Anolis sagrei: one gene and its partners. The protein of the gene in region 4 purifies or fractionates together with the protein of the main gene of each other region. This does not show direct contact. Links are inferred from orthologs where the notes say so. Each region holds a gene or a part of one and is shown on either strand. Other genes may lie near its edges. The genes, in order: RAB4A, RAB8B, RAB10 and GDI2.

The links.
Region 1: the proteins of GDI2 (region 4) and RAB4A purify together in Homo sapiens (co-immunoprecipitation; 3 studies listed by BioGRID and IntAct, with this or other methods). This does not show direct contact. The link is inferred for Anolis sagrei from reciprocal best matches to the Homo sapiens genes GDI2 and RAB4A.
Region 2: the proteins of GDI2 (region 4) and RAB8B purify together in Homo sapiens (affinity purification with mass spectrometry; 3 studies listed by BioGRID and IntAct, with this or other methods). This does not show direct contact. The link is inferred for Anolis sagrei from reciprocal best matches to the Homo sapiens genes GDI2 and RAB8B.
Region 3: the proteins of GDI2 (region 4) and RAB10 purify together in Homo sapiens (co-immunoprecipitation; 3 studies listed by BioGRID and IntAct, with this or other methods). This does not show direct contact. The link is inferred for Anolis sagrei from reciprocal best matches to the Homo sapiens genes GDI2 and RAB10.

What each region holds. Positions count from the first base shown.
Region 1 is NC_090021.1:61,134,245-61,142,001, reverse strand, and holds the start of RAB4A (ras-related protein Rab-4A), read right to left. Parts: upstream 3,046-7,757; 5' UTR 2,841-3,045; coding exon 2,810-2,840; intron 1-2,809. UniProt on the Homo sapiens protein: The small GTPases Rab are key regulators of intracellular membrane trafficking, from the formation of transport vesicles to their fusion with membranes.
Region 2 is NC_090029.1:2,132,345-2,140,107, forward strand, and holds the start of RAB8B (ras-related protein Rab-8B), read right to left. Parts: upstream 3,047-7,763; 5' UTR 3,000-3,046; coding exon 2,876-2,999; intron 1-2,875. UniProt on the Homo sapiens protein: The small GTPases Rab are key regulators of intracellular membrane trafficking, from the formation of transport vesicles to their fusion with membranes.
Region 3 is NC_090021.1:1,393,427-1,401,533, reverse strand, and holds the start of RAB10 (ras-related protein Rab-10), read right to left. Parts: upstream 3,064-8,107; 5' UTR 2,765-3,063; coding exon 2,638-2,764; intron 1-2,637. UniProt on the Homo sapiens protein: The small GTPases Rab are key regulators of intracellular membrane trafficking, from the formation of transport vesicles to their fusion with membranes.
Region 4 is NC_090025.1:193,951,260-193,959,077, reverse strand, and holds the start of GDI2 (rab GDP dissociation inhibitor beta), read right to left. Parts: upstream 3,092-7,818; coding exon 2,735-3,091; intron 1-2,734. UniProt on the Homo sapiens protein: GDP-dissociation inhibitor preventing the GDP to GTP exchange of most Rab proteins. By keeping these small GTPases in their inactive GDP-bound form regulates intracellular membrane trafficking.

The DNA of each region.
Region 1 (7,757 bases), on a different chromosome or scaffold from region 4:
CTGACATTATGGATCACTTGCTAGTCTGATATAGATTGTAGTAGCAGCACTATCACTATACTATACATATGTGGTATAACATATGTGGTGCCTTGGACTGTAAGAAGATCAAACCAGTCCATACTCCAGGAAATAATGCCCAACTGCTCACTGGAGGGAAGAATATTAGAGGCAAAGATGAAGTACTCTGGCCACATAATGAAAAGTCAGGAAAGCTTGGGGAAGATGCTAAAGAAAATGGAAGGAAAAAGGAAGATCAAGGGCAAGATGGATGGATGTTATCCTTGTAGTGACTGGCTTGACCTTGAAGAAACTGGGGGTGGCAACGGCTGACAGGGAGCTGGGCTGGTCTACGAGGTCATGAAGAATCAGAAGTGACTGAATGAATAAACAACTACTAAGCTCCCTTCCCTCATATTTGTTTTGAAAGTATTCTTGAACCAGAAAACAAGGATGAGAAATACTGAGATTTATTATGGGTCTGGCCCACCATGTATGGATGATATAAAAACTTCTGAAATAATATGTATTATGCAGTCCTTTAAGGATCTACATAAACTAAAGGCACGTTGTCCTGTGAGATCTTCGAAGCTAAGTAGGGAAAGAGAAAGACCACATTACTGATAAGCTTGATTTAATGAAGGATGCCATAGGACCCAACTAATCTAAAAGCACTAGTCTATCTGATCTTGGAAGCTAAGCAGGATCAGCTTGGATAGTACTTGGATGGGAGACTGGCATCAAAACTCTGGCACTGTTATCTGTTATTTCAGAAAAAGGGACTGGCAAAACCACTTCTGAGCACTCCTTGCCCCAAAGAAAGCCCTATGAATTTGATGGGTTCACCGTAAGTTAGCAGGTGAACTGAATGTATACACAGATACACAAGCCCTTAAGGCAGGGGTCCTCAAACTAAGGCCAGGGGGCCAGATACGGCCCTCCAAGGTCATCTACCCGGCCCTCGCTCAGGGTCAACCTAAATCTGAAACGACTTGAAAGCACACAATAACAACAATAACAATACTATCTCATTAGGCAAAAGCAGGCCCACACTTCCCATTAAAGTACTAATAGGTTTATATTTGTTAAAATTGTTCTTAATTTTAATTATTGTATTGTTTTAAGTGAGGTTTTTTTTTTTTTGCACTACAAATAAGATATGTGCAGTGTGCATAGGAATTCATGTTGGGTTTTTTTTCAAATCATAATCCGGCCCTCCAATAGTGTGAGGAACTGTGACCTGGCCCTCTGTTAAAAAAGTTTGAGGACCCCTGCCTTAAGGGCTCTGTGCTTCACAGGAAAAGCAATTCTCATGTACTCCTTCTTCAAGCAACAACCCAATGCACATCACTCCTACTTGCTCTTTTCCCACTCCTGGTCCAGTAGGGGGAAAAAAGCAGCCCTTAAAAAAGAGCACAGAAATAAAGATATGGAAAAGAACAGGGAGCAATATGCAAGGTCCTCTTAGGAGGAAGCAATCTTGCACGACACATCATGCACCCTCTTTTTTGTTGAGAATGTGGATTTGCAGTAAAATAAAACAAAATCAACAAAAGTGCAATACTCTTATTGGCCAACCATAACACACAAAATACCTCATGCAGACTTTTAGTGGCTCCATTGGCAAGATTGTTTATAAAGTATTGAAAAGTGATGGTGTTTCAGGCATGGGCAAACTTCAGCCCTCCAGATGTTTTGGACTCCCAACTCCTACTGGTTGTTAGGAATTGTGTGAGTTGAAGTCCAAAACACCTGGAGGGCCAATGTTTTCCCATGCCTGGTATTGAATCATGGGCCTCATCACTGTCATGAAACTTCCAGATTACCTGCTTTGAACTGGATTATATAGTGGAGCCTTGGTGGAGCAATGGGTTAAACTGCGAGATGGGATGGGTTCCTGCCTGTCAGCTCCAGCTTCCCATGTGGGGACATGAGAGAAGCCTCCCACAGGATAATAACACATCCAGGCATCCTCTGGGCACCAGAAGTGACTTGTGGTTTCTCAGGTCGCTTCTGACATGATTTTAAAAAACTGGATTATATCAGTCTACACTGCCATATGATCCAGTTTTTTAAAATCATGTCAGAAGCGACCTGAGAAACCGCAAGTCGCTTCTGGTGCCCTGAGGATGCCTGGATGTGTTATTATCCTGTGGGAGGCTTCTCTCATGTCCCCACATGGGAAGCTGGAGCTGACAGGTGGGAACTCATAATCTGGATTACATAAAGAATCATTTAATTGGATGAGATCTCATGGATCATCCAGTCCAACCCCTTGCCAAGAAGTAGGAAAATTGCATTCAAAGCATTCCCGACAGATGGCCATCCAGCCTTTGCTTAAAAGCCTCAAAAGGAGGAGCCTCCACCACAGTGTTGATGGGCCCACGGGCCTGCATTTTGTACCAGATGATGTTCAGTTGGGTTGGAGCAGGCCTGGGCAAACGTGGGCCCTCCGGGTGTTTTGGACTTCAACTCCCACCATTCCTAACAGCCTCAGGCCCTCTCCTTTCCCCCCTCAGCCAACGAAGCCGTTTGGTGCGTTTTAGGTCACCATGAAGGGCCTCGCTCTGTTGTGGCTTTCATGCTGTTTTGCGTGAGGGCGAAAGATGTGTCATGGCCTTTGTAAGGTAAAGGTACCTATTCCCACCACAGGTCCAGGGATGTGGGAAAGGTTGGTCACTATTGGCGAAGAGAGAAAGGACTGGGCTCCTGGGCCACTGAGAGGGATAGACATTCATTCGCCAGCCCTGCTTCCCTCCCTCAGAAGAGGCCAAGGCCAGCCCCTCCTCTCCTCTCTCCCCTTCCCTACCGTAAGTCTCGGACATGGCTGTCTGCGACATCTTGGGCGCGAGGAGGAGGCCGCTGGGGTTCGCAGGGCCTTCGGGCGCCTCAGCCGCGGCCCCAGGGCACCCCGAGAAGCCTCCCGCTCCGAGCGCGAGGGGAGGGAGGGAGGGAGGGAGAGAGGGAGGGAGCTTGGCAAGGAGGAGCCCAAGAGCGCCTCCAGCAGCAGCGCGTGAAGGGGCCGCTCTACGCCTGCGCACGGAGCTCCTCGCGCTTGGCCCCGCCCCAGGCCTCCCTTGGTGCGCAGGCGCGCCGGGCCGCCAACGGCTCTTTCTCCCTCTCACCAAAACAAAACGCACGTGCGCGCCGGTTTTGAAACCCGAAGTGCGTTCCTCCTCCTGCCCCCGCCCCCCCTGCTGGAAAGGGGCGGGGCTGCGGGGAGGGAGTGGGCCCCGCACCACGTGACCGCTCGTGCCCCCGCTGCAGTGGAAGCAGAGTTGGAAGAAACCATAGAAGCTGCAAGTCGCGTCTAGTATGAGAGAATTGGCTGTCTGCAAGGATGTTGCCCAGGGGATGTACGGATGTTTAGATGATTTACCATCTTTGTGGGAGGCTTCTCTCATGTCCCCACATGGGGAGCTGGAGCTGACAGAGGGAGCTTATCCGTGCTCTTCCCTGAATTCAAACCTCCAACCTGTCGGTCTTCAGTCCTGCCAGCACAAGGGTTTAACCCATTGCACAACCCTAGCCATGTCAGTTAAAGTGGTGTGACGTTAGACTATAGATGCGTCTGAGGAGGCAAACGATTAGATGCCCTTGGGAAACTAGAAATCCCACATTATCATTGTAGTGGCTCAATGGGTTAAACCCTTGGGTTGGCAGGACTGATGACCAATAGGTCAGAGGTTCAAATCCAGGGAGAGCAGGTAGAGCTCCATCTGTCAGTTCCAGCTCCTCATGTGGGGACATGAGAGAAGCTTTTCACAAGGATGGTAAACATCAAACATCTGGGTGTCCCCTGGATAACGTCCTTGCAGATGGCCAATTCTCTCACACCAGAAGCGACTTGCAGTTTCTCAAATCATTCCTGACATTAAAAAAATACGTGAAGATGTCACAGGTTGTAGATCAAAATTATTGGGACATCTCCAAACATTGCGGAGCACCCAGCATAGCCAATATAGGAATGCTGAGGGCTGCGGTCCCAACTGCTTCTGAAGGCTGCACTGATTCTTTTAAAATGCAGCACATCCTCTTTTCGTCCTTTGTTTCCTGTATCTGTTCATCCTCTTTGTATTTTTATATTATTGATTGCCATGTCTTCTGCTTTCACCCTAAGCAACCACAGCACAGCTGGCAACAGAAGCAAGTCCTACACATATATTAATATTTACATAGACCTTTGTATGGAAATTGCTGCCAAAGGCAAGGACTACTTCAAGATATTTACAAATACTGAACACCTGGGGTGAAAATTGCAAATGGTTAGGAGTAATACCTAATATAGCACATTTTTTTACAATGTTATTCGCAGTTTAATTAAATATTTAATATTTTTGCCGTATTGATGTCAAGCCAAGACATCCCTCACCTCAGCAAAAGTCTTCATTTGGACCATGGCAGGAGATTCAAACATCACCAACTGAACCCCTGAGTCCCGATGGCTTGCTGGAGGAAGACTTGCAACAGCTGCCAGCTCCAGAGGATTCACTGCCTTCATACTCGAAAAACCCAGGCAATAGGCAATAAAGGATTGCTTATGTGTGTTTGTTGTAATATTTTGTGTTTTATAATTTCATAAAATACCTTTGGATCCATGAAGCCACCACCATGACATTGGTGACCTTTCACTGGCACGCCTTGACCTGGGATTCCCCTTGTGTCTCCCTGGTCTCCACCTCAACAAAGGACTCAAGCACCCATCATCTTCTGAATCAATCCATCTCTATTGATTCCAGACTTCACAAAGGATGACCGGACCCTGAATTGGGCTAACCTTTTGTGTGGCCATAAGGACTTGCGATCACCTGGCACCCTTCCTGAAATTTGGAAGGTTGCTGTAAGTTTTTTGGGCTATATGGCCATGTTCCAGAAGCATTCTCTCCTGATGTTTCGACAACACATTTGGAAGGTTCTGCCACTGTTTTTCCTGAATGCCATTTCCCCGTAATGGATTCTTTAATCCCATCATTCGGGACAGCATATTTGTAAGGTCAGAAATGGGCATGGGCACCAGACCCACCTGATGGGTTATTCACTGGGTAATCACAAAGACAATAATCCTCAGGGAACAGATAGCCCTGCCTTGTTAGTCCCCAAGTTGAGACACTAACCCATTCATAAAATTATATTCTCCACATTTTTCAAAATCCATTTATCATAGGGACAGAAAGTGAGGTGAAATCTTCTGAACAGGGGCACAGACAGTAAAAATCAACCCCAAAATCTGGGTCACATCCACAGGGCAATGTAATTATTGTATATCTTACTTGACTCTTATTAAAATACTAGTCCTTTCTGAGTAGAGGGGCAAAAGGCAAGAGCGTGGCCCATTCTGGAGGAACCTAAAACAAGCACTAACCCCTTTAATCTTCTGGGCCTTTTGAATGCCAGAGTTGTAAAATGTTAGCCAAGGTGGCACTTTCCTCATTTCACAGAATGACCCACGACTTATTCACTAGTCATCTCAAAATCTATAATTTTGGCCCCGAAATCTGTCCACAGCTTATACATGTATTCAACTTATACTTCAGCATACATGGTACTCCCTTCTTACCAATTCCAACTAGTTCTTTGCTTCCTAACAAATATTACTTCCAGACCATATTCTGGGCACAGATATAGCTATAGGCATTGTCAGTGTCTACCAAAAAGCCATGACTTTTTGTATGGAGTCGAGCATAAAATAAAAATTGCAACTGTAAGAGGAGTATGAAAATATTAAATGTGGGGCAGCACAAGAAAATAGTTCAGTAGGACAGAGAATTCAAAGAGCGACTGCAGGAGAGAGCTGTTGCCATTGTGTCCTACTTGTAGACTGCATTAGCTGTTGCAGATAAAGATGTTTAAGAGCTTCCTGGTTTAACCTAGTGCTGTATAGAGCACTGCTTCTTAAACTGTCAGTCCAACCCCAAATGGGGTCCCCATGATTCATTGTTGTCAAAAGGGAAAGGTTTCTGAATGCCACACTTTTGCACCAATCTTAACAAAACCATGCAGTGTTTGTAGTGGACTTTGAAGCAAATGCTTCAGCTGTATGTCACAAAAAGAAAAATCGGCCTGTTTAGCAAGCCTTGAAAATTCTGATTTATTATCATCAGTGTTTGATTTTATACCTATCTTATATATACCTATATTCCTGGAGCATATAAAATAATTTGGGTGGAAAGAGGTCACGAGAAGCAAAACTTTAAGAAGTCCTGGCATGGAGCACCACCACTATACTTTTATTTTGGTGAAATTCAAACAACTAAATGGATAGGCTAAAACATTTTTTTTTGGCAGAGATTATTCCACAGCAAAGTGCTACTATCTGTGTTCCATATTTCTTCAAGAAATACCTCTGATCTGAGAGCTGACCTTTTTCTAGTATGAAATCATATGGAGGATATAGAATTGTTTCTTCTTGTGTATTACAATTACAGTAGAGTCTCTGTTATCCAACCTTCTTTCATCCAACATTCTGTATCATCCAACGTAGTCTCCCTCCTGCCTGGGTCCGCAGCTGTTTCAATACATTGAGATGTTTTAATGCTAAATTTGTAAATACAGTAATTACTACATAATGTTACCGTGTATTGAACTGTTTTCTCTGTCTGTTTGTTGTAAGACATGATGTTTTGGTGTTTAATTTGTAAAATCATAACGCAATTTGACATTTAATAGGTTTTTCCTTAATCTCTCCTTATTATCCAACATTTTCTCTTATCCAACTTTCTGCCAGTCCGTTTATGTTGGATAAGCGAGACTCTACTGTACCACAATCACATAGATAACTCTATTCACAAATAGGTTATTTACAAATGTATTCATTTCATACATGCCTTGCCTTGGAAGTAAAAAGTACATCAAAGACACCTTGACAATACAGCTAACAATAAGTATTGATTAAAATCATAACATTAAAATAGAACATTGAAAGACATAGCCAGTACCTATTCCATTGAACTCCTTCAACAGCAAACTAGTTTATATGCCAAAGGCATGCTTGAATAAAAAGTCAGTCTCTTGTTTGCAGAAGGAAATTCATTTTCTATCAGCAAGTTCCAGAAATTGGGAGCAGCCGCCAAGAAAGCCTGCTCTTATGTCCTCTTATTCTTGCCATAGTAAGTCTTAAGACATAGTCTGCTCTGTAAGGGGTTGCTCTCTCTCTGAAAGATTTATTTGTTTATCGTGTCATCAGCAACCATACCATTGTATTACAATTCTAACAGAACAAAACAAACACACAGATTAAAAAAAACAAAAAAACACACACACACAGATTTTGCAAACTTGGTAGTTGGTTAAATGTTCTTTGGCCAGTATCTGGCCACTTGGAGTGCCTCTGGTGTTGCTGCAAGAAGGTCCTCCATTGTGCATGTGGCAGGGCTCAGGGTGCATTGCAGCAGGTGGTCTGTGGCTTGTTCTTCTCCGCACTCGCATGCCGTGGATTCCACCCTGTAGCCCCATTTCTTAAGATTGGTTCTGCATCTCGTGGTGCCAGAGCGCAGTCTGTTCAGCGCCTTCCAAGTCGCCCAGTCTTCTGTGTGCCCAGGGGGACATGAGAGAAGCCTCCTCGCAGGATTGCAAGACATCCGGGCGTCCCCTGGGCAATGTCTTCGTAGACGGCTGATTCTCTCGATCCAGAAGCAACCAGAGACGACTTGCAGCATGCCTCTGAAAGATCAGGTCCATAGTTTGGAGGTGCATTTTTGAGCCAGATTCAAGTTGCATTATATGGTCTCTGTAGATGTATCTTTAGGCTGTAGATCACA
Region 2 (7,763 bases), on a different chromosome or scaffold from region 4:
TATGTTTATTTCTACACTATTATTATTATTATTATTATTTATTTATTTATTTCCACCCCGCTTAAGGAGACATTATTAGTATTAATTCCCACCCTATTATTATTATTATGTTTATCTCCATCCCTTTTTATTATTATTAATATTATTATGTTTATTTCCACTCCATTTGTTATTATTAGCATTATTATTATTTATTTATTTATTCCCTGCTTTTTCCCTCCACAAGGAGACATTTTTACTACCACTATTATTATTATTATTTCCACCCCATTTTTATTATTATCATAGAATCCTAGAGTTGGAAGAGACCTCGTGTGCCATCTAGTCCAACCCCCTTGCCAAGAAGCAGGACAATGCGTTTAAAGCATCCCCAACAGATGGCCATTATTATGTTTGTTTATTCCCTCCCAATTTATTATTATGTTTATTTCCATCCCATTATCATTATATTTTATGTCTACCCCACTTTTTCCCTCCACAAGGATATTTATTATTATTTCCACCCCATTCATTATTACTATTGTTGTTTATTTCCACCCCATTTATTATCATTATTATGATTTATTTCCAGCCCATTCATCATTATTATTGTTGTTTATTTCCACCCCATTTATTATCATTGTCATTATTGTTTCCACCCCATTTATAATTATGTTATTATTGTTTATTTCCCCTCATTTATAATTATTATATTCTCACCCGGCTTTTCTTCTCCCCAAGTAGACATTGATTATTACTATATTATTATTATTATTACTATTATCGTCATTATCATTATTATTTATTTCCAACCCATTATTATTATTTCCACTCCATTTATAATTATGTTATTATTGATTATTTCCACCTCATTTATAATTATTATATTCTCACCCGGCTTTTCTTCTCCCCACGTAGACATTGATTATTATTATATTATTATTACTATTATCATCATTATTTATTTCCAACCCATTATTATTTATTTCCACCACATTTACTTTTATTATTATTATCATTTCCACCCCATTTATAATTATGTTATTATTGTTTATTTCCACCTCATTTATAATTATTATATTCTCCCCCAAGTAGACATTTATTATTACTATATTATTATTATCATCATTACCATTATTATTTATTTCCACCCCAATTATTATTATTATTATTATTATTATTACTATTATCATCATTATCATTATTATTTATTTCCACCACATTTACTTTTATTATTATTATTATCATTTCCACCCCATTTATAATTATGTTATTATTGTTTATTTCCACCCCATTTATAATTATTATATTCTCCCCCAAGTAGACATTTATTATTACTATATTATTATTATCATCATTACCATTATTATTTATTTCCACCCCATTTATTTTTATTATTATTATCATCATTATCATTATTATTTATTTCCACCACATTTACTTTTATTATTATTATCATTTCCACCCCATTTATAATTGTTATGATTGTTGATTTCCACCTCATTTATAATTATTATATTCTCACCCCAAGTAGACATTGATTATTACTATATTATTATTATTACTATTATCATCATTGTCATTATTATTTATTTCCACCACATTTATTTTTATTATTATTATCATCATCATTATCATTATTATTTATTTCCACCACGTTTACTTTTATTATTATTATTATTAATTACTATTATCATCATTATCATTAATTTCCACCCCATTTATAATTATGTTACTATTGTTTATTTCCACCTCATTTATAATTATTATATTGTCACCTCAAGTAGACATTGATTATTACTATATTATTATTACTATTATCATCACTATCATTATCATTATTATTATTATTATTATTATTTCCACCCCATTTATAATTATTATATTCTCACCCGGCTTTTCTTCTCCCCACGTAGACATTGATTATTATTATATTATTATTACTATTATCATCATTATTTATTTCCAACCCATTATTATTATTTCCACTCCATTTATAATTATGTTATTATTGTTTATTTCCACCTCATTTATAATTATTATATTCTCACCCCAAGTAGACATTGATTATTACAATATTATTGTTATTACTATTATCTTCATTATCATTATTATTTATTTCCACATTTACTTTTATTATTATTATTACTATTATCATCATTATCATTATTATTTCTACCCCATTTATTATCATTATTATTATTATCATTTCCACCTCATTTATAATTATGAAATTATTGTTTATTTCCACCTCATTTATAATTATTATATTCTCACCCCAAGTAGACATTGATTATTACTATATTATTATTATCCTTATTATCATTATTTCTACCTCATTTATAATTATTATAATTATTATTATTTCCACCCCATTTATTATTATTATTATTTCCATCCCATTTATAATTATTATATTCTCATCCCAAGTAGACATTGATTATTACTATATTATTATTATTACTATTACTATTATTATTATTATTATTTCCACCTCATTTATAATTATTATTATCATTATTTCTACCCCATTTATTATTATTATTTCCACACCATTTATAATTATTATATTCTCCCCCAAGTAGACATTGATTATTACTATATTATTATTATTATTATCCTTATTATTATTATTACTATTATTATACTTATTATTATTTTTTCTCTGTGTTATTCCTCCCACCTGGCTTTCCTTCTCCCCAAGTAGACATTGATTATTGCTATATTATTATTACTATTATTAGGATGAGGATGCTGTGAGGAGTGCCAAGGCGCGGCCTAGCTTCCCCCCTGAGGCCTGCCTGGCGTGATTTCCCTGCCCGGGGCGTGTGGCCCCTCAGCGGGCGGATGGCTTCCCTCCCGGCCTGCCTTCTCCCTTCTCCCTGGTCTGTCTCACCGATGGTGGAGATGAAGGTGGTGTTGAAGGCGTCCTCGCTGAAGCGGAAGAGGAGGCAGGTCTTGCCCACGCCCGAGTCCCCGATCAGCAGCAGCTTGAACAGGTAGTCGTACGTCTTCGCCATCTTCCTCCCCAATGAGCAGGCCCGCACCGGAAGACAGGCCCAAGGCGAGGAGCAGGAGGAGGGGCCAATCAGAGGAGGAGCAGGAGGGGCCAATCCCCGCCCTCTCGCTTCCGCCCGCGCGCAACGCCTCCTGGGAATTGTAGTCTTGTACCTCCCTAATGCTCTGCCCCTGAGCTAGAGACCGGAAGTGTGCCCTGAATTGGGAACCTATTCTTCTTATTATTATTGTTCTTGCCCCAACTCTATTCTCCATCTTCACAGCTATGATTTCTCACCTTGTGGATGGGAAGCTGGCAAGCTGTTTAACCTCAGCAGGCTGAAAGCCAAAACCAAGGTTAGGACAACATGTTATAGAACTCCAGTATGCTGATGACAACGTCATCTGTGCGCATTCAGAAGAAGACTTACAACCTTGTTATAGAACTCCAGTATGCTGATGACAATGTCATCTATGCGCATTCAGAAGACTTACAACCTTGTTTTAGGACTCCAGTGTCCTGATGACAACGTCATCTGTGCGCATTCAGAAGACTTACAACCTTGTTATAGGACTCCAGTATGCTAATGACATTCAGAAGACTTACAACCTTGTTATAGAACTCCACAACATCATCTGTGCACATTGTGAAGAAGACTTACAACCTTGTTATAGGACTCTAGTATGCTGATGACAACGTTGTCTGTGCGCATTCAGAAGACTTACAACCTTGTTATAGAACTCCAGTATGCTGATGACAACGTCATCTGTGCGCATTCAGAAGACTTACAACCTTGTTATAGAACTCCAGTATGCTGATGACAACATCATCTGTGCGCATTCAGAAGACTTACAACCTTGTTATAGAACTCCAGTGTGCTGATGACAACGTCATCTGTGCGCATTCAGAAGACTTACAACCTTGTTATAGGACTCCAGTATGCTAATGACATTCAGAAGACTTACAACCTTGTTATAGAACTCCAGTATGCTGATGACGTTGTCTGTGCGCATTCAGAAGAAGACTTACAACCTTGTTACACAACTCCAGTATGCTGATGACATTCAGAAGACTTACAACCTTGTTATACAACTCCAGTATGCTAATGACATTCAGAAGACTTACAACCTTATTATAGGACTCCAGTATACTGATGACAACGTCGTCTGTGTGCATTCAGAAGACTTACAACCTTGTTATAGAACTCCAGTATGCTGATGACATTATATTAATTTATATTACTATATTATTTTCTATTTGATATCATACCTCATATATTATTTTATATTACTATTACTTATTATTTTCTATTCAGTATTATACATTATATCATTATATATTATATTATTTTCTATTACACATTGTATGATATATCGTTATTATATTATTATTTTCTATTCGATGTTATACATTATATTATATATTTTATATTATTTTCTATTTGATATCATACTATATATTATTTTATATTACTATTATTATTTTCTATTCAACATTATACATTATATCATTATATATTATATTATCTATTACACATTGCATGATATATCGTTATTATTATTTTCTATTCAATAGTATACATTCTCTTATATATTTTTATATTATTTTCTATTTGATATCATACCTTATATATTATTTTATATTACTATTATTATTTTCTATTCAATATTATACATCATTATATATTACTATATATTATATTATTTTCTATTATACATTGTATGTTATATTGTTATTATATTATTTTCTATTCGATATTATACATATTATTATATATTATGTTATTTTTAGATACCATACCTTATATATTATTTCATATTACTATTATTTATTGTTTTCTATTCATTATATTATATTATAATATATTATATTATTTTCTATTCAATATTACATATCATTATATATCATTATATTATTATCTATTACACATTATACGTTATATTGTTATTATATTATTATATTCTATTTGATATTATAATTATTATATATAATTATGTTATTTTCTATTAGATACCATACCTTATATATTATTTTATATTACTATTATTTTCTATTCAATATCATACATTATATTATAGTATTTTCTATTCAATATTATATATTATATCATTATATATTATTATATTATTATTTTCTATTACATTGTACGTTATATTGTTATTATATTATTATGTTCTATTTGATATTATACATATTATTATATATTATTATTTTCTATTAGATACCATTTGTTGTTCATTCGTTCAGTCGTCTCCGACTCTTTGTGACCTCATGGACCAGCCCACGCCAGAGCTCCCTGTCGGCCGTCACCACCCCCAGCTCCTTCAAGGTCAGTCCAGATACCATACCATATATATTATTTTATATTACTATTATTTATTATTTTCTACTCAATATTATATATTATTATATATTATTATATTATTTTCTATTACACATTGTACGTTATATTGTTATTATATTATTATTTTCTATTTAATATTATACATTATATTATTATATATTAATGTTGAACATGGATGGAGCGAGCACGCTCCCCGGAGGCAGGCCGTTCTTCTGTTTCCGCCACCTGCTTCTCTGGCCCTGGAACTCAACAAAGAAGCTCCTGTTTTGTAGCAATTTTCCTATGAGGCGGGTGAGGTGGTCGTCCTTGGTGATATTATATATATGATATATGGTTAGGGATCGGCTGGTTTTCCCTGTAATAGGCAGTAAGAGCACCTAGAGCTTTGGAGAGCTTCTGTTCTACCATCTGAAAGCTCCCTGCTTGAGCGGTGATGGCACGATCATCGGCATAGATGAAGCTCTCTGTCCCTTCTGGCAGTGGCTGGTCATTTGTGTAGATGTTGAACATGGATGGAGCAAGCACGCTCCCCTGAGACAGGCCGTTCTTCTGTTTCCGCCATCTGCTTCTCTGGCCCTGAAACTCAACAAAAAAGCTCCTGTTTTGTAGCAGGTTTCCTATGAGGCGGGTGAGGTGGTCGTCCTTGGTGATATTATATTTATTTATTTATTTATTTATTTGGTTTACTTTTACCCCGCCCTTCTCACTCCGAAGGGGACTCAGGGCGGCTTACATATCCAAGGCACAATTCGATGCCTGTAACATACAACAATGATAAAAACACAATAGCGCAAAATAGCAAACAACAACAGTACATCATATCCATACCCAATAAAACCAATAAAACCCATAAAATATTTCATACAAACCGATACAAACCAATTACTCCTTATTGCCGGTCAATATTCTCTGTCTCATAGTTCAGAGTTCATTCCACAGTTATCAGTCCTGCCGGTCCTATTTGTCTGGCTGTCCTTACTTAGTTGGCAGATTGCCCGAAGGCCTGGTCCCACAACCATGTCTTTATCCTCCTCCTGAAGGACAGGAGTGATGTCGATGTCCTGATATCCGCCGGGAGTGAGTTCCACAGGTGAGGGGCCACCACTGAGAAGGCCCTGCTCCTCGTCCCCACCAGCCTCACTTGGGAAAGCGGTGGAGTTGAGAGCAGGGTCTCCCCAGATGATCTCAGACTCCAGGGTGGGACATAGAGGGAGATACGTTTGGACAGATACACTGGACCGGAACCGTACAGGGTTTTGTAGGTCAAAACCAGCACCTTGAATTGGGCTCGGAACTGAACTGGCAGCCAGTGGAGCTGACACAGCAGGGGGGTGGTGTGCTCCCTGTATGTCGCTCCAGTGAGCAGCCTGGCTGCCACTCGCTGGACCAGTTGAAGTTTCCGAACAGTCTTCAAGGGCAACCCCACGTAGAGTGCGTTGCAGTAATCTAATCGGGATGTAACAAAAGCGTGGACCACCGTGGCCAGATCTGACTTCCCAAGGTATGGGCACAACTGGTGCACAAGTTTTAATTGTGCAAAAGCTCTCCCGGCCACCGCTGAGACCTGGGGTTCCAGGCTCAACGGTGAGTCCAGGATCACTCCCAAGCTGCGAACCTGCGTCTTCAGGGGGAGTGGGACCCCGTCTAACACAGGCTGTAACCCTATGCCCTATACGGCCTTGCGACTGACCAGGAGTACCTCTGTCTTGTCTGGATTCAATTTCAATTTGTTAGCTCTCATCCAGTCTGACACAGCGGCCAAGCACCGGTTCAAGGTCTGGACAGCCTCCTTGGTGACAGGTGAGTAGGAGTGACAGATCTGGACATCATCTGCGTAGAGATAACACCTCAGTCCGAAACTCCGAAACTTATACATTTTTCTCAGGCAGAGGTGGTGGTTCACAGTCTCATAGGCTGCTGAGAGGTCTATGAAGACAGTGCCAGTGATCTGCTGCCTTTCAAAGCCATCTTCCATGTGCTGAGTCAGGTTCAGCACTTGCGATGTGCAAAACAGACTGTTCGAATGTACCTCGGTGTCAGAGCAACTTCCCGCTTCAACCAAGAGACTCTGGATTTATCTTGCAGCTTTTCATGCTCATGTTTCAGGACTTTGTCATGTTCTCATGGGACCTTGCCTTGCCTATGTTTTCATGGATCTTGTTTGCCCGTGTCACCTTGGATTGATCTTTTGAAATATACTTTTGCTTTTTGAACCTTTTAGCTTTTCTTTTAATAAAACTATAAAGACTACTGCTGGTGCGTTCTTTGTTGTCGTGAGCAAGGTGGTTCTACTCTGAGGTGCGACAGAAATTCAATCCCACTAAAAGGCAACTCAACAGTGAACAGTTGAACAATCCGTCAGTCATTTATTAGGTATCAGTTAAGGCATACAAAAAGGCCAATTAATTACAAAAAGAAATTCAGGAATAACCATCTCTATTT
Region 3 (8,107 bases), on a different chromosome or scaffold from region 4:
ATTATTTGTTGCATGTGTTTTTGGATTTATTTTGCTGTAATTTGTTGTTCAGGCTTGACCTTGTGTAAGCCACCCCGAGTCCCCATTGGGGAGATGGTGGCGGGGTATAAATAAAGATTATTATTATTATTGTTATTATTACTACTACTACGACATTAGGAGATTCCATCTGAACATGAGGAAGAACTTCCTGACTGTGAGAGCCGTTCAGCAGTGGAACTCTCTGCCCCAGAGTGTGGTGGAGGCTCCTTCTTTGGAAGCTTTTAAACAGAGGCTGGATGGCCATCTGTCAGGGGTGCTTTGAATGCAATATTCCTGCTTCTTGGCAGAATGGGGTTGGACTGGATGGCCCAGGAGGTCTCTTCCAACTCTTTGATTCTATGATTACCCTTTTCCTGATGGCAGAGAGTTCCTTAGATGTCCAAAGGCAGTTCAATCAAATATTGGAATGTGAGAAAAAGGTTGGGATATTTTACTATATGTCAGTGGTTTTGAAAAAAAAAGGCCCAGAAATAATAAATTCAAAATATGTATGATGCTGAAAGGAATTATTATAGTTAAAAATCATGACCAGTCCAGAGTTGTATGTCTTGGGAATCCTGCACCATCAACCCGGAAGAAAATATGGAAGATGATAACTGCAGCAAGAATTGTTTATGCACAGGGATGGAAGGAGCCAGCTACCCCAACACCAAAAGATCTGCAAAGTACCCAAAACGAACAAACTGATGATGATGCTGATCAGGAAGAAATCCTCAACCAGCTTCAAGAAAGACTGGGATTTACCATCTTTTCACTGAAATGATGGGAGGGAATGTCAATTGTAGAATTCATGAATTAGACAAATGTTCTGAAAAGTGTCGTAATTTAGCAATACCTAAAATGAATGGACTAATGAGGGATAAAGATCAACAGCCTGTGAGTATGAGGTTTGCAGGATTTTCTCTGTAGTTGTGTGCTCAAGGGTTAGTACAGTTTGTGTTTGCATGTCAATAGAGGCATGTGTCTGATTGGTGTGTGGGAGTTGAAGTCCAAAACACTGGAGAGACAGCCAAAGTTTGATCACACCTGGTCTAAAGAGAGTAGGATAAAAGGAGTGTGGGGCTCAAAGAACAGTCTCTATATTTCAGTGTTTGCAGATGAGTATCATTAATGAAATAAAGGCATGTGAATAAAAAAAAGAGAGGCAATTTTTCCCAGTGGAAATGATGATGATGATGATGATGATTGGGGGGGGGGAGGAAGGAAGGACAGGTGGAAGGAAGGAAAGAAAGGAGGATGGGAGGAAGAAGAACAGGAGGAAGGAAAGAAGGCAGGCAAGGATAGATGGAAGGAAAGAATGAAGGATAGATGGATGGAAGCAAAGAAAGAAGGCGGGAAAGAAGGCTAGATGGAAGGAAACAAGAAGGAAAGGAAGGAAGGAAAGAAGGGAAGGAAGGGAAGGAAGAAAGGCAGAAAAGAAGAATGGATGGAAGAAACAAAAGACAGAAAAAAGAAGGAAAGAAATGGAAGGAAGAAGGCAGGCAAGAAATATAGATGGAAAGATGAAGAAAAAAAGGATAGATGGAAGGAAGGAAAGAACAAAGGACAGGAGGAAGGAAGGAAGAAAAGAAAGAAGGAATGAAGGAAGGCAGGAAAGAAAAAGAAGGAAGGAAAGAAGGAAGGAAGGAGGCAGGCAAGAAGGATGGAAGGAAGGAAAGAATGGAGGAAAGAAAGAAAAACAGAAAGAAGGAAAGAAAAGGAAGGGAGAAAGAAGGCAGGCAAGAAAGAAAGAAAGAAAGGATGAAGGCAGGCAAGGACAGATGGAAAGAAGAAAAGATGGAAGAAAGGAAGGAGGAAGGAAAGAGAAGGGAGGAAGGAAGAAGGCAGGCAAGAAGGACAGATGGAAGGAAAAATGATGGATGGGTGGGTGGGTGGAAGGAAAGAAGAAACGAAGGACAGGAGGAAGGAAGAAAAGAAAGAAAGAAAGAACAAAGAACAGGAGGAAGGAAAGAAGGCAGGCAAGAAGGATAGATGGAAAGAAGAAAAGATGGAAGGAAGAAAAGAAAGAAGGAAGAATAGATGGAAGAAAGGAAGAAAAGAAAGAAGGAAGGCAGGAAAGAAAAGGAAGGAAGGAAGAAGTCAGGCAAGAAGGACAGATAGAAAGAAGAAAAGATGGAAGGAAGAAAAGAAAGGAAAGAAGAAAAGAAAGAAAGAAGGAATGAAAGAAGGAAGGCAGGAAAGAAAAAAGAAGGAAGGGAAAGGGAAAAGTCAGGCAAGAAGGACAGATGGAAAGAAGAAAAGATAGATAAAAGGAAGAAAAGAAAGAAGGGAGGAAGGAAAGAAGGTAGGAATGAAAGAAGGAAGGAAAGCAAAAAGGAAGGAAAGAAAAGGAAGAAGGCAGGCAAGATGGACAGATAGAAAGAAGAAAAGATAGAAGGAAGAAAAGAAAGAAAAAAAGGAAGGAAGGAAGGAAGGCAGGCAAGAAGGACAGATGGAAAGAAGAAAAGATGGAAGGAAGGAAGAAGGAAGGAAGGAAAGAAAAGGAAGAAGGCAGGCAAGAAGGATAGATGGAAGGAAGAGAGGAAAGGCAAGAGGGAAGGAGGGGAGGGTGTTTGGGGTGCCCCCTTGCCCTCCCCTCCCCTGAGGCCTGCTCACCGATGGTGGAGATGAAGGTGGTGTTGAAGGCATCGTCGGAGAAGCGGAAGAGGACGCAGGTCTTGCCGACGCCGGAGTCGCCGATGAGGAGCAGCTTGAAGAGCAGGTCGTAGGTTTTCTTCGCCATGGGGCCCGACGGCGACGCCCCGCTCCGGGACACGCCAGGCCCTCCCTCGAGCCCTCCTCCTCCCTCAGGAGAGCCCCGGCGAGGGGAGAAGAAGAAGGAGAAGAGGGGACGAAGAGGAGGAGGAGGCACAAAATGGCGGCCGGCGTGGAGGAGAGGCCAAGCGGAGAGGGAGGCGGCGGCGGTGGGGTGTTCCCGGTGGGCTCCTTCCTTCCTTTCCTTCCTTCCTTCCTTCACGGCCGGGCGGCGCTGGGCCTCATGCTCGCTCCATCCCTTCCCTTCGCTTCTTTCCCTCAGGCTCTGTCACTGTCTCTCCGCCTCACGAGAGGAGGAGGAGCAGGAGAGTAGGCCGCACGCGCGCTCACGCCACACGCACGCAGCCACGGGCGCGCGCACGTCCAGGCCGGCCGCTCCCTTCTTCTTCCTTACCCCTCTCAGCTCTCAGCTAGTGCGCCTGCGCAGAAGGAGGCGGCGCCCGGTGCGTGCGCAAGCCCGACGACGCACGTACGCACGCACGCACGCAAGCCGGCCTGCCGCTCCCTTCCTGAGAGGGGAAAAAGAGCAAGCACGCACGCGCGCGCACGCAAGGCCGGCCTTTCCTTTCTCTCTCTCTCTCTCTCTGCTCTGACGTAAGAGCTCAGCTCATGCGCGTGCGCAAAGGAGGCCACACATACACACACACACACTGGCCAATCGCGTGGCGGCGAGGTGACTCAAGCGTGGGCGGGGCCGACAAGAGGGAAAAGGGGCGGAGCTCTGTGTCGTTCAAGCTCAGGCTAGTGCGCGTGCGCAGAGGGGCTCCCTTCTTCCCCTCTCCACAAGAGAGGAATAATTTGGCGTTCAAGCTCAGGCTAGTGCGCGTGCGCAGAGGTGTTCCCTTCTTCCTTTCCCCTCCACAAGAGGAAAAGGGGCGGAGCTCTGGCGTTCAAGCTCAGGCTAGTGCGCCTGCGCAGAAGTGCTCCCTTCTTCCCCTTCTCCACAAGAGAGGAAAAGGGGCGGAGCTCTGTAGCGTTCAAGCTCAGGCTAGTGCGCGTGCGCAGAGACAGGCGGCGCTCGGTGCGTGCGCAAGCCCGACGACGCACGTACGGACGCACGCACGCACGCCGGCCTGCCGCTCCCTTTCTCAAAGGGGGAAAAAGAGCAAGGCCGCACGCACGCATGCGCACGTCTAGGCCGGCCGCTCCCTCCTTCTTCCCCTCTCCACACAAGAGGAAAAAGGGGCGGAGCTCTGTGGCGTTGAAGCTCAGGCTAGTGCGCGTGCGCAGAGGCGCTCCCTTCCTCCCTCTCCACAAGAAAGGAAAAGGGGCGGAGCTCTGGCGTCAAGCTCGGGCTAGTGCGCCTGCGCAGAGGGGCTCCCTTCTTCCCCTCTCCACACAAGAGGAAAAGGGGCGGAGCTCTGGCGTCAAGCTCGGGCTAGTGCGCCTGCGCAGAGGCGCTCCCTTCCTCCCTCTCCACAAGAAAGGAAAAGGGGCGGAGCTCTGGCGTCAAGCTCGGGCTAGTGCGCGTGCGCAGAGGCGCTCCTTTCTTCCACCCTCTCCACAAGAGGAAAAGGGGCGGAGCTCTGGTGTCAAGATCAGGCTAGTGCGCGTGCGCAGAAGCGCTCCTTTCTTCCTCTCCACACAAGAGGAAAAGGGGCGGAGCTCTGTGGCGTTCAAGCTCAGGCTAGTGCGCGTGCGCAGAGGGAGGCGTGCGCAAGCCCGACGACGCACGGACGCACGGGCACGCAAGGCAGGCCTTTTCTTTTTCCCTCACGCTCTGCTCTGACGTAAGAGCTCAGCTCGTGCGCGTGCGCAAAGGAGGCCCCACACACACATATAGATATACAGACACATACCCTGGCCAATCGCGTGGCGGCGAAGTGACTCAAGCGTGGGCGGGGCATCCCCGAAAAGGGGCGGGGCTTCGCTCTCCCTCCCTCCCTCCCTCCGAATGGGGAGAGATCTCCCTGCGACGACGGTTGGGCCAACGGTCTGGAGGGGGCGTGGCCTTGTCCGCGCATGCGCAGGGGTTTATTTCAGGCTCACCTGTTTCCCCCTTCCTTACTTGCTTCCCTGAGAGGCTCCCTGTGGAACTGACCCAGGAATGAATCCCCAGTCGTCGAATTTTAGTATATCAATGTATGTTTATATATGTATACTCTAATATATATATAATATATAGGGGACAGCTCCACCTTGTCTCCTGCATTTGCCATCAGTTGGGGACCCCCCCCCAGCACCAACTGCCACTTTGTCTCCTGTGCTATTCTAATGATAGGTTATCATATAATATATTGTGTATACAGATAATATTTATAATATTGTAATGTAATGCAATATAATACTACGACTAATACTACTAACATTCCTATTGAATATCTGCTGCTGAGTATGCATGCCCAGTGTGGAACGCATCTCACCACGCTCAAACAGTGGATGTGGCTCTTAATGAGACATGCCGCATTATCACGGGGTGTCTGCGCCCCACACCACTGGAGAAATTACACTGCTTAGCCGGTATTGCACCACCTGACATCCGCCAGGAAGTAGCAGCCAATAGTGAAAGGACCAAGGCAGAGACATCTCCAGCTCATCCCCTGTTTGGGTATCAGCCAGCACGTCAATGACTTAAATCTAGACATAGTTTTCTAAGATCTACAGAGACACTCGCTGGAACACCTCAGCAAGCGAGAGTCCAAAAGTGGCAGGCTCAAACCCAGCACCTCAACCAATGGCTGATACCAAATGAGAGACTCCCCCCCTGGGCACACAGAAGACTGGGCGACTTGGAAGGCATTGAACAGACTGCGCTCTGGCACCACAAGATGCAGAGCCAACCTTCAGAAATGGGGCTACAAAGTGGAATCCTCGACATGCGAGTGTGGAGAAGAGCAAACCACTGACCACCTGCTGCAATGCACCCTGAGCCCTGCCACATGCACAATGGAGGACCTTCTTGCAGCAACACCGGAAGCACTCCAAGTGGCCAGATACTGGTCAAAGGACATTTAACCAGCTACCAAACTCACAAGTTGTGTATTTTTCTGTTTGTTTGCTTTGTTCTGTTAGAAATGTAATATAATAGACTGGTTGCTCTGACACGACAAATAAATAAATAAATATACAGTGGAAATGAAGAACAGATTTGAAGGACTAGATTTAGTAAACAGAGAAGAACTATGGACAGAAGTCCGCGACATTGCTCAGGAGGCAGCAACAAAGTACGTCCCAAAGAAAAAGAAAACCAAGAAGGCAAAATGGTTGTCTGCCGAGACACTGGAAGTAGCCCAAGAAAGGAGGAAAGCAAAAGGAAACAGGGATAATAAGGGGAGATATGCCCAGTTAAATGTGCAATTCCAGAGGTTAGCCAGAAGAGACAAGGAACTATTTTCAAATAAGCAATGCATGGAAGTGGAAGAAGACAACAGAATAGGAAGGACAAGAGACCTCTTCCAGAAAATTAGAAACATTGGAGGTACATTTCAGGCAAAAATTGGTATGATAAGAAACAAAGATGGCAGGGACCTAACAGAAGCTGAAGAGATCAAGAGAAGGTGGCGAGACTATACAGAAGATCTGTATAGGAAGGATAATAATATCGAGGATAACTTTGACAGTGTGGTGAATGAATTAGAACCAGACATCCTGAGGAGTGAGGTTGAATGGGCCTTAAGAAGCATTGCGTAACAACAAGGCAGCAGGAGACGACGGGATCCCAGCTGAACTGTTTAAAATCTTAAAAGATGATGCTGTCAAGGTGATGCATGCCATTTGCCAGCAAATATGGAAAACACAAGAATGGCCATCAGACTGGAAAAAATCAACTTATATCCCCATACCAAAAAAGGGAAATGCAAAAGACTGCTCAAACCGCCGTACAGTTGCCCTTATTTCTCATCATGCCAGGAAGGGAATGCTCAAGATCCTGCAAGGAAGAAGACTCCAGCAAGACATGGAGCGAGAGTTGCCAGATGTTCAAGCTGGGTTTAGAAAAGGCAGAGGAACGAGAGACTAGATTGCCAATCTCCGGAGGCTGCAGAATGGAGAAAGGCAGGGAGTTTCAGAAAAACATCTATTTCTGCTTCATTGACTCTTCTAAAGCCTTTGACTTTGTGGATCATAATAAATTGTGGCAAGTTCTTGGTGGGATGGGCATCCCAAGCCCCCTTCCCTCTCTCCTGAGGGATCTGTACCAGGACCAAGGAGCAACAGTCAGAACTGACCACGGAACAGGAGACGGGTTCAAGGTTGGGAAAGGCGTCCGGCAAGGCTGCATCCTCTCACCCAACCTTTTTAATGTGTATGCAGAACACATCATGCAAGGATGTGCGGGGCTGGATGAATGCAAAGCTGGGGTGAAAATGGCTGGAAGAAACACTAACAACCTCAGATATGCAGATGACACCACTTTGATGGCCGAAAGCGAGGAGGAGCTGAGGAGCCTTCTAATCAAGGTGAAAGAAGAAAGCGCAAAAGCCAGGTTGCAGCTAAACATCAAAAAAACCAAGATGATGGCAACAAGAATGATTGACAACTGGGAAATAGAGGGAGAAACCGTGGAGGCCGTGACAGACTTTGTATTTCTAGGTGCAAAGATGAGTGCAGTTGCAGACTGTGGCCAGGACATCAGAAGACGCTTCCTTCTTGGGAGGAGAGCAATGTCCAATCTCGATAAAATAGTGAAGAGTAGAGACATCAGACTGGCAACAAAGATCCATTGCCTAGTCAAAGCCATGGTCTTCCCTGTAGTCACCTACGGAGGTGAGAGCTGGACCTTCGGGAAGGCTGAGCCAAGGAAGAGAGATGCTTTTGAGCTGTGGTGTTGGAGGAAAGTGCTGAGAGTGCCTTGGACTGCGAGAAGATCCACCCAGTCCATCCTCCAGGAAAGAAAGCCCGACTAAAGCTCACTGGAGGGAAAGATACTAGAGACAAAGTGGAAGTCCTTTGGCCACATCAGGAGGAGACAGGAAAGCCTAGAGAAGGGAATGATGCTGGGGAAAGTGGAAGGGAAAAGGAAGAGGGGCCGACCAAGGGCAAGATGGATGGACGGCATCCTTGAAGTGACCGGACTGACCTTGAAGGAGCTGGGGGTGGTGACGGCCGACAGGGAGCTCTGGCGTGGGCTGGTCCATGAGGTCACGAAGAGTCAGAGACGACTGAACGAATGAACAACAACACATATAATATTTATAATATTGTAATGTAATGCAATATAATACTACTAATAATAATAATATGATATTATAATTATATATTTATATTAAATGTAATATTACTAATAATATTACAGTGTAATTTATATAGTGCAATATAGCAATATTTAAAACTGATATTGTACTATGTTAAAAATATATTGTATGTATATATA
Region 4 (7,818 bases):
ACTGGACGAATTGACATCAAATTTGGACACAAGACACCTAACAACCCAATGTATATCCTTCAATCAAAAAATGGATTTTGTCATTTGGGAGTTGTAGTTGCTGGGATTTATAGTTCACCTACAATCAAAGAGCATTCTGAACCCCACCAAGGATGGAATTGAACCAAACTTGGCACACAATTCTCCCACGACCAACAGAAAATACTGGAAGGGTTTGGTGGGCAGTGTCCTTTGGTTTTGGAGTTGTAGTTCATCTACATCCAGAGATCACTGTGGACTCAAACAAAGATGGATCTCAACCAAACTCTACACGAATACTCAATATGCCCAAATGTGAATACTGGTGGAGTTTGGGGAATATAGAATCTTGACATTTGGGAGTTGTAGTTGCTGGGATTTATAGTTCACCTACTATCACAGAACATTCCGAACCCCACCAACGATAGAATTTGGGCAAACCTTCCACACAGAACCCTCATGTGGGCCACAGCAACGTGTGGCAGGGGACAGCTAGAAGCACAATATTAATATTATATATTACATATTAAAATAACATTATACTGTAATATTATCAATAATATTACCTTTAATATAAAATATATAATTATAAGATCATGTTATTAGTAGTAGTACTACATTGTATTACATTATAATATTATCAATATTATATGTATATTATATATACTATATAATTTGGCATATAATTTGTATACGGGCAGTGTATCCCTATATTATTGTTAGTAGTATATCATAACCATAGCACACTATTAATATTATATATTACATAGCACTATATTTATTATTTATTTATTTATGGCATTTATATTCCGCCCTTCTCACACCGAAGGGGACTCAGAGCGGCTTACAATATATATTTTCATACAATATATTATATTATTAACATAGTACAATATCAGTATATATTACTATATTGCACTATACCATTATATTGTAATATTATTAGTAATATTACATGTAATGTAAATATATAATTATAATTATAATATTGAATTATTATTACTAGTATTCATCATCATCATCATCATCACTTTATAGAGAGGGGAGGCCAGGGGACAGCACCATCTTGTCTCCTGCATTTGCCATCCGTTGGGGACCCCTCCCCACAGCACCAACTGCCGCTCTGGGCCAGAGCAAAGAAAGAGGGGCCAGGGGACAGTTCCACCTTGTCTCCTGTGCTATTCTAATAATATGTTATAATATAATATATACATATAATATTTATAATATTGTACTGTAATGCAATATAATACTAGTCCAACGTGTGGCAGCCATGATGCTAACAGGAGCGGGACGTAGGGAGCATACAACCCCTCTACTGTACCAGCTCCACTGGCTGCCAATCTGCTACCGGGCTCAATTCAAGGTGCTGGCACTGGCCTATAAAGCCCTAAACGGTTCCGGCCCAAAATACCTTACTGACCGCCTCTCGGCCTATGAGCCCACGAGGACTTTGAGATCTTCCGGGGAGGCCCTGCTCTCGATCCCGCCTGCCTCACAGGCATGGCTGGTGGGGACGAGAGATAGGGCCTTCTCGGTGGTGGCTCCTCGGCTGTGGAACACCCTTCCCGTGGACATCAGGCTAGCCCCCTCCTTGCTGATATTCCGCAGGAAGTTAACGACCTGGCTATTTAAGAAGGCATTTGACCAATAAGTGCAATGACTGGCAATTGACCATAGGAATGGAACACTGGAAAAGAGATCGGATTGTGACTTGACGATGAGACGACTCGGAATGTAGTAGTGATTTTGTATTGATGTTGTTGTTTGATAAGATGTTTTTATGATTAGGATGAATTGTACACTGTTTTGCACTATGTCTTGTTTTCTTGCACTTGTTTTCTTCATGTTGTACACCGCAATGAGTCGCCCTGAAGGGCTGAGAATTGCGGTATATAAGCGCAGTAAATAAATAATAAATAAATAAATAGTAATTGTTTTTAAATGCACAATGATTTTGTATTCTGTATATCTAAACTTGTAAACCGCTCTGAGTCGCCTAAGGGCTGAGAAGAGCGGTATACAAATAAAGTAAATAAATAAATAAATAAATAGTCGCTCTCCACCAAGGTGCTCCGAGCGACTTACAATTTAAAACAGTTTATACACAATATAAAATATTCAATATAAAAACATTCAACAGTGACTATGGCAAAATTTGATCCGGTTACTTAAGTGAACAACCAAACAGCGTATAACTATATTATTGTTAGTATTGTATTGTATTACATTATAATATTATAAATATTATATGTATATACAACAAACTATATTATATTATTAGGAAAGACAAGATGACATATATTTATAATTTATATTTATATTTATAATTTGCCATATAATTTGTATACTGGCAGTGTATCCCTAAATTACTGTTAGTAGTATATCATTACCATAGCACAATATTAATATTAGTAATATTACATTTAATATAAAATATATAATTACAATATATTATTAGTAGTACTATATTGTATTAAATTATATCAATATTATATTATATATACTATCATATAATTTGGCATATAATCTGTATATTGGCAGTGTATCCCTATATTATTGCTAATAGTAGTAAGAGTATTCCCTGCAGGGAAAGAGAAATGTCTACGGAGGCCCTGAAGGGACAAGAGAGGTGGAGTAGGGGGGGGCGCGGCCTAGTCCTCTCTGCGGAGCCTGCCTCGATTAGCTCCCCTTTCCCGCCCGCTCGCTGGCTCACCGTGAGGCCGGTGCCTAGCACGATCACGTCGTACTCCTCGTTCATGGCGGCGGCGAAGAGGACCTGCTGGCGGCGGCGCCGAGGAGGAGGAGGAGGTGGAGGAGGGCCGGCGAGGGCTTCGCTTCCTTCGCGGGAGGAGGATGAGGAGGAGCGCAAAATGGAGGCGCTTCTGCCAACGCCGCTGTGAGGAGACCGCGCCAGGGGGGCGGGGTTTTGTCCAGGGGGCGTGGCGTAGGCGTGGACTCCCAGGATTGGGGCGGAGCTTCCTGGCGCCTTCACCCTCTCCAGCTGGGGGGCGGGGCTTCGTTGGGTGGGCGGGGCTTGCCGGGACCCTCCTGCCGCCCCAGGCCTCTCCATTGGGCCGAAAAAAATGGGAGGAGCTCGAGGTGGTGTCTGAGCCGCTCCGGCGCCGTCATTGGTCTCCCTGGCGACGTCAATCAACTTTTTGTTTCCTCCCCTCCCTTCTAAGAGACGCTGTCGCTAAGGGGCGGGGCGAAAGGGGGAAGGCCACGCCCCTCGGCGCCGCTGCCACGCTGGTTGGCTCCTGCTGACGTCAGAGCCTGGGAGTTTTGGCGCAGGCGCATAAGCGAGAAGGGACCTGGGGAAAGGTTGCCTTGCAAAGTTTTTGGTGCATAATGAGGTTCTGAGCTCCAAATAAATACATACATCCTGAACTTCTTATATTTTATTTATTTTTAAATGCATTTGACCTTAAAAAAATTGTAATTCTGCAATTGTTATTTTTGCAATTTTAAACATAATTCTGGAATTTTTTCTTATATTTTATTTATTTTTTAAATGCATTTAACCTTAACATATTTGTAATTCTGCAATGATTATTTTTGCAATTTTAAACATAATTCTGGAATTTTTTCTTATATTGTATTTATTTTCTAAATGCATTTAATCTTAATATATTTGTAATTCTGCAATTATTATTTTTGCAATTTTAAAACAAAATTCTGGATTTTTTCCCATTATTTTATTTATTTTTTTAAGTGCATTTAACAATAAAATATTTGCAATTCTGCCATGATTATTTTTGCAATTTTTAACATTAATTCTGGAATTTTTTCTTATATATTATTTATTTTTTAAATGCATTTAACCTTAACATAGTTGTAATTCTGCAATGATTATTTTTGCAATTTTAAAACATAATTCTGGAATTTTTTCCTATATTATTTTTATTTTTAAATGCATTTAATCTTAATATATTTGTAATTCTGCAATTATTATTTTTGCAATTTTAAAACAAAATTCTGGATTTTTTCCCATTATTTTATTTATTTTTAAATGCATTTAACAATAAAATATTTGCAATTCTGCCATGATTATTTTTGCAATTTTTAACATTAATTCTGGATTTTTTTCTTATATATTATTTATTTTTTAAATGCATTTAACCTTAACATAGTTGTAATTCTGCCATGATTATTTTTGCAATTTTAAAACATAATTCTAGAAATTTTTCTTATATATTATTTATTTTTAAAATGCATTTAACCTTAACATAGTTGTAATTCTGCAATGATTATTTTTGCAATTTTAAAACATTATTCTGGAATTTTAAAAATATCTTATAATATCTTGTAATTCTGGATTTATTTTGCAATTTTAACCTAACTCTTGGATTTTAAATATCTTGAAATCTCTTATAATCTTGGATATATATATATATATTTGCAATTTTACAAGGGGCGTTCATTAAAGATTTCTCTCTAACCCACTTCTGTTTATCACAGATTGCTGAAAATGCACATGTGTAATGATCAAAGTCTTTATAGGTTACGTGCCAATTTAATGGTTTTGATGAGACAGGTGCTGAAGTGGTGTGAGGTTTGAGAATGGACCCAGTGGAACACAGAGCAGTCCTCAAGTTCCTTTCCTTGAAAGGCCGCACACCAAGGGAGACGTTCAATGAGGTGAAAAGGATTTATTGTGATGATTCCCCGTCATATAATGAAGTCAAGAACTGGCATCTTCAATTCCAATGTAGTCGGTGGAAACAGCTCCAATACCAGGACGACCGCAACTCCCATCCGATCCCAAGGCTTTCCTCTAAACCTACCCTACAACAACATCTATTATAGAATTCCAGTATGCTGATGACAACGTCGTCTGTGTGCATTCAGAAGACCTACAAGCTGCTCTAAACACCTTTGCAGAAGCATACGAGCAGCTTGGCGTGTCATTAAACATCAAGAAAACCAAAGTCCTCTTCCAGCAGTCACCAGCCAATCCCTCTCCAATGCCAGAGATACAGCTTAATGGTGTAACATTAGAAAATGTTACACCATTTTTAAATGCTTGTGTGTTACTGTTATTGTATATTTTTTGTTTATGTGATTTATATTAATTGTTTTGTATTGATTGTTTTTGTTATTGCCTTTGTTTACTGATGTACTGTGCGCTTGGCCTCATGTAAGCCGCATTGAGTCCTTTGGGGAGATAGTAGCGGGGTATAAATAAAGTTTTATTATTATTATTATTATTATTAAATGTTGACCATTTCCGTTCCCTTGGCAGCCACCTCTCCACAAAAGCCAACATTGACATTGAAATTCAACACCACCTGAGCTCTGCGAGTGCAGCATTTGTCCCAATGAAGCAGAGAGTGTTTGAGGACTGGGACATCTATAAGGATACGAAGGTGCTTGTTTATAAAGCCATTGTCCTCCCAACCCTGCTATACACCTGCGAGACGTGGACAGTCTACAGACATCAACATTGACACTGAAATGCAACACCGCCTGAGCTCTGCGAGTGCAGCATTTTTCCGAATGGAGCAAAGAGTGTTTGAGGACCGGGACATCCGTAGGGATACCAAGGTGCTTGTTTATAAAGCTATTTTCCTCCCAACCCTGCTATAAGCTTCTGAGACGTGGACTGTCTACATACGTCACATGCAACTCCTGGAACGATTCCATCAGTGTTGCCTCCGGAAAATCCTGCAAATCTCTTGGGAAGACAGGTGGATAAATGTCAACATGCCGGAAGAAGCAAAGACCAACAGCATTGAAGCGATGGTCCTCTGCCATCAACTCTGCTGGACCAATCACATTGTCCGGATGCCCAAACACCATCTCCCAAAACAGTTGCTCTATTCCGAACTCAAGAATGGAAAACGGAATGTTGGAGGGCAGGAAAAGAGATGGAAAGACAGGCTCAAAGCCAACCTTAAAAACTGTGGCATAAACACTGAGAAGTGGGAAGCCCTGGCCCTTGAGCGCTCCAGCTGGAGGTCAGCTGTGACCAGCAATGCTGCAGAATTTGAAGAGGCCTGAATGGAGGGTGAAAGAGAGAAACGTGCCAGGAGGAAGGTGCGTCAAGCCAACCCCGACTGGGACTGCCTTCCACCTGAAACCGATGTCCTCACTGCGAGAGAAGATGCAGGTCAAGAATAGGGCTCCACAGTCACCTACGAATCCACAAGGAAACCCATCATGGAAGACCACCACCTACGGACCCACCGCCAGAACACCAACCTTGGAGGACCATCATCCTTTGAGTACGAGTAAGTAAATAAGTACCCTACAATGTCAAAGAAAACCAAATAAGCCGCCTCCATCTCAGAAGAGATCCTGCTGGACACGGATCTCCCGCCTTTCAATGAGCTGCGCCCTGAAAGTAAACCTTTCACTCACGGTGTGAAATGAAGCAGGGATGCTGTTTGCGATTCACAACCGGAGCAGGAGAAATCATTATTACAAGCAAATCACATTTTCTGCTGCCTAATGGAAGGCTTAAGGAAGCAGAAAGCTTTCTCCATTCCGGTTGACTGAGAGGGAAAGTGCGGGCGAGACAGGCCTGGAGGACGGGTCCCTCTGTGACAGATGCAAACCATGGAGCGGACGTAAAGCCTTCCTAAGTACTTTGGCTGCTGAGTCTGCGGAAAGGGTGATCCCTTGCAAACACAAACACACTTCGTAGTTGCATCGCATTTTTCATACGGATGCTTGCCTGGGCCTGCCGAATCAGTCTTTAGCGACTCAAAGCGGCTGGATGAATTAACTGGATTGTGTTCTGCCAAGATTTAGGAGGAAGAGAGGAGAATAAAATCGCAAGCATTGTTCGGCTTCGTAGTTTAACTTTGGAAAGATTTAATTAAAATATTCATTCAACAGTGTTAGGAATTGTGGGAATTAAAGTTTACCCATGCCTACTATATGCTGGAGCCCTGGTGGTGCAGCAGGTAAAACCGCTGAGCTGCTGAACTTGCTGACTGAAAGGTCAGTGGTTCGAATCCGGGGAGCGGGTGAGCTCCCGCTATTAGCCCCAGCTTCTGCCAACCTAGTAGTTTGAAAACATGCAAATGTGTGTATGTTGTAGTTCAACAGAGTAGATCAATAGGTACCGTTCCGGTGGGAAAGTTATGGGACTCCATGCAATCATGCTGGCCACATGACCTTGGAGGTGTCTATGGATAACTCCGGCTCTTCAGCTTAGAAATGGAGATGAGCACCCCCCCCCCCCCGAGTCGGACATGTCTGGACTTAATGACAGGGGACTACCTTTAACTTTACCTAAGGTAAATGGTCTAAATACCAAAAGGCACCAGATCCTAAGTGATCTTGGAATCTAAGCAGGGTCAAACCTGGTTGGTATTTGGATGGGAGACCACAGTGAATACCAGGTGCTGCAAGCTACATTTCAGATGAAGGAAGTAACCATATGGTAAAATCAATATAGTTCAAGCCATTTGAAATGTCTTTTCTTTTTGGGGCTCTTTGGGTATGTTGTACACCAGAGGAGGAACACCTCTGACCTTAAACATCACACCTTGGTAGAATATATGTATGCAAAGCAGTAAAAAATAGCAAAACAGTTGGAGGCCAAAATCCAAGATAGTCCATATGCTTCAAAGGGAAACAAGTCCCATTAGTATATAGAAATCCGCAAAGCAAGACACTTGAAACCATGGAACAAAACAGGAGGAAAATCCCATAGGCAACTTGAGTTTGGCAAAAACTTGATACATGAAACACAGAGCACTTGAAAGCAAGACCGTGATAAAAAATAACAACGTTGACTCGACTGAGGCATGAATCATTATAAATCTTTTCCAGAACCCAAAACTGAAA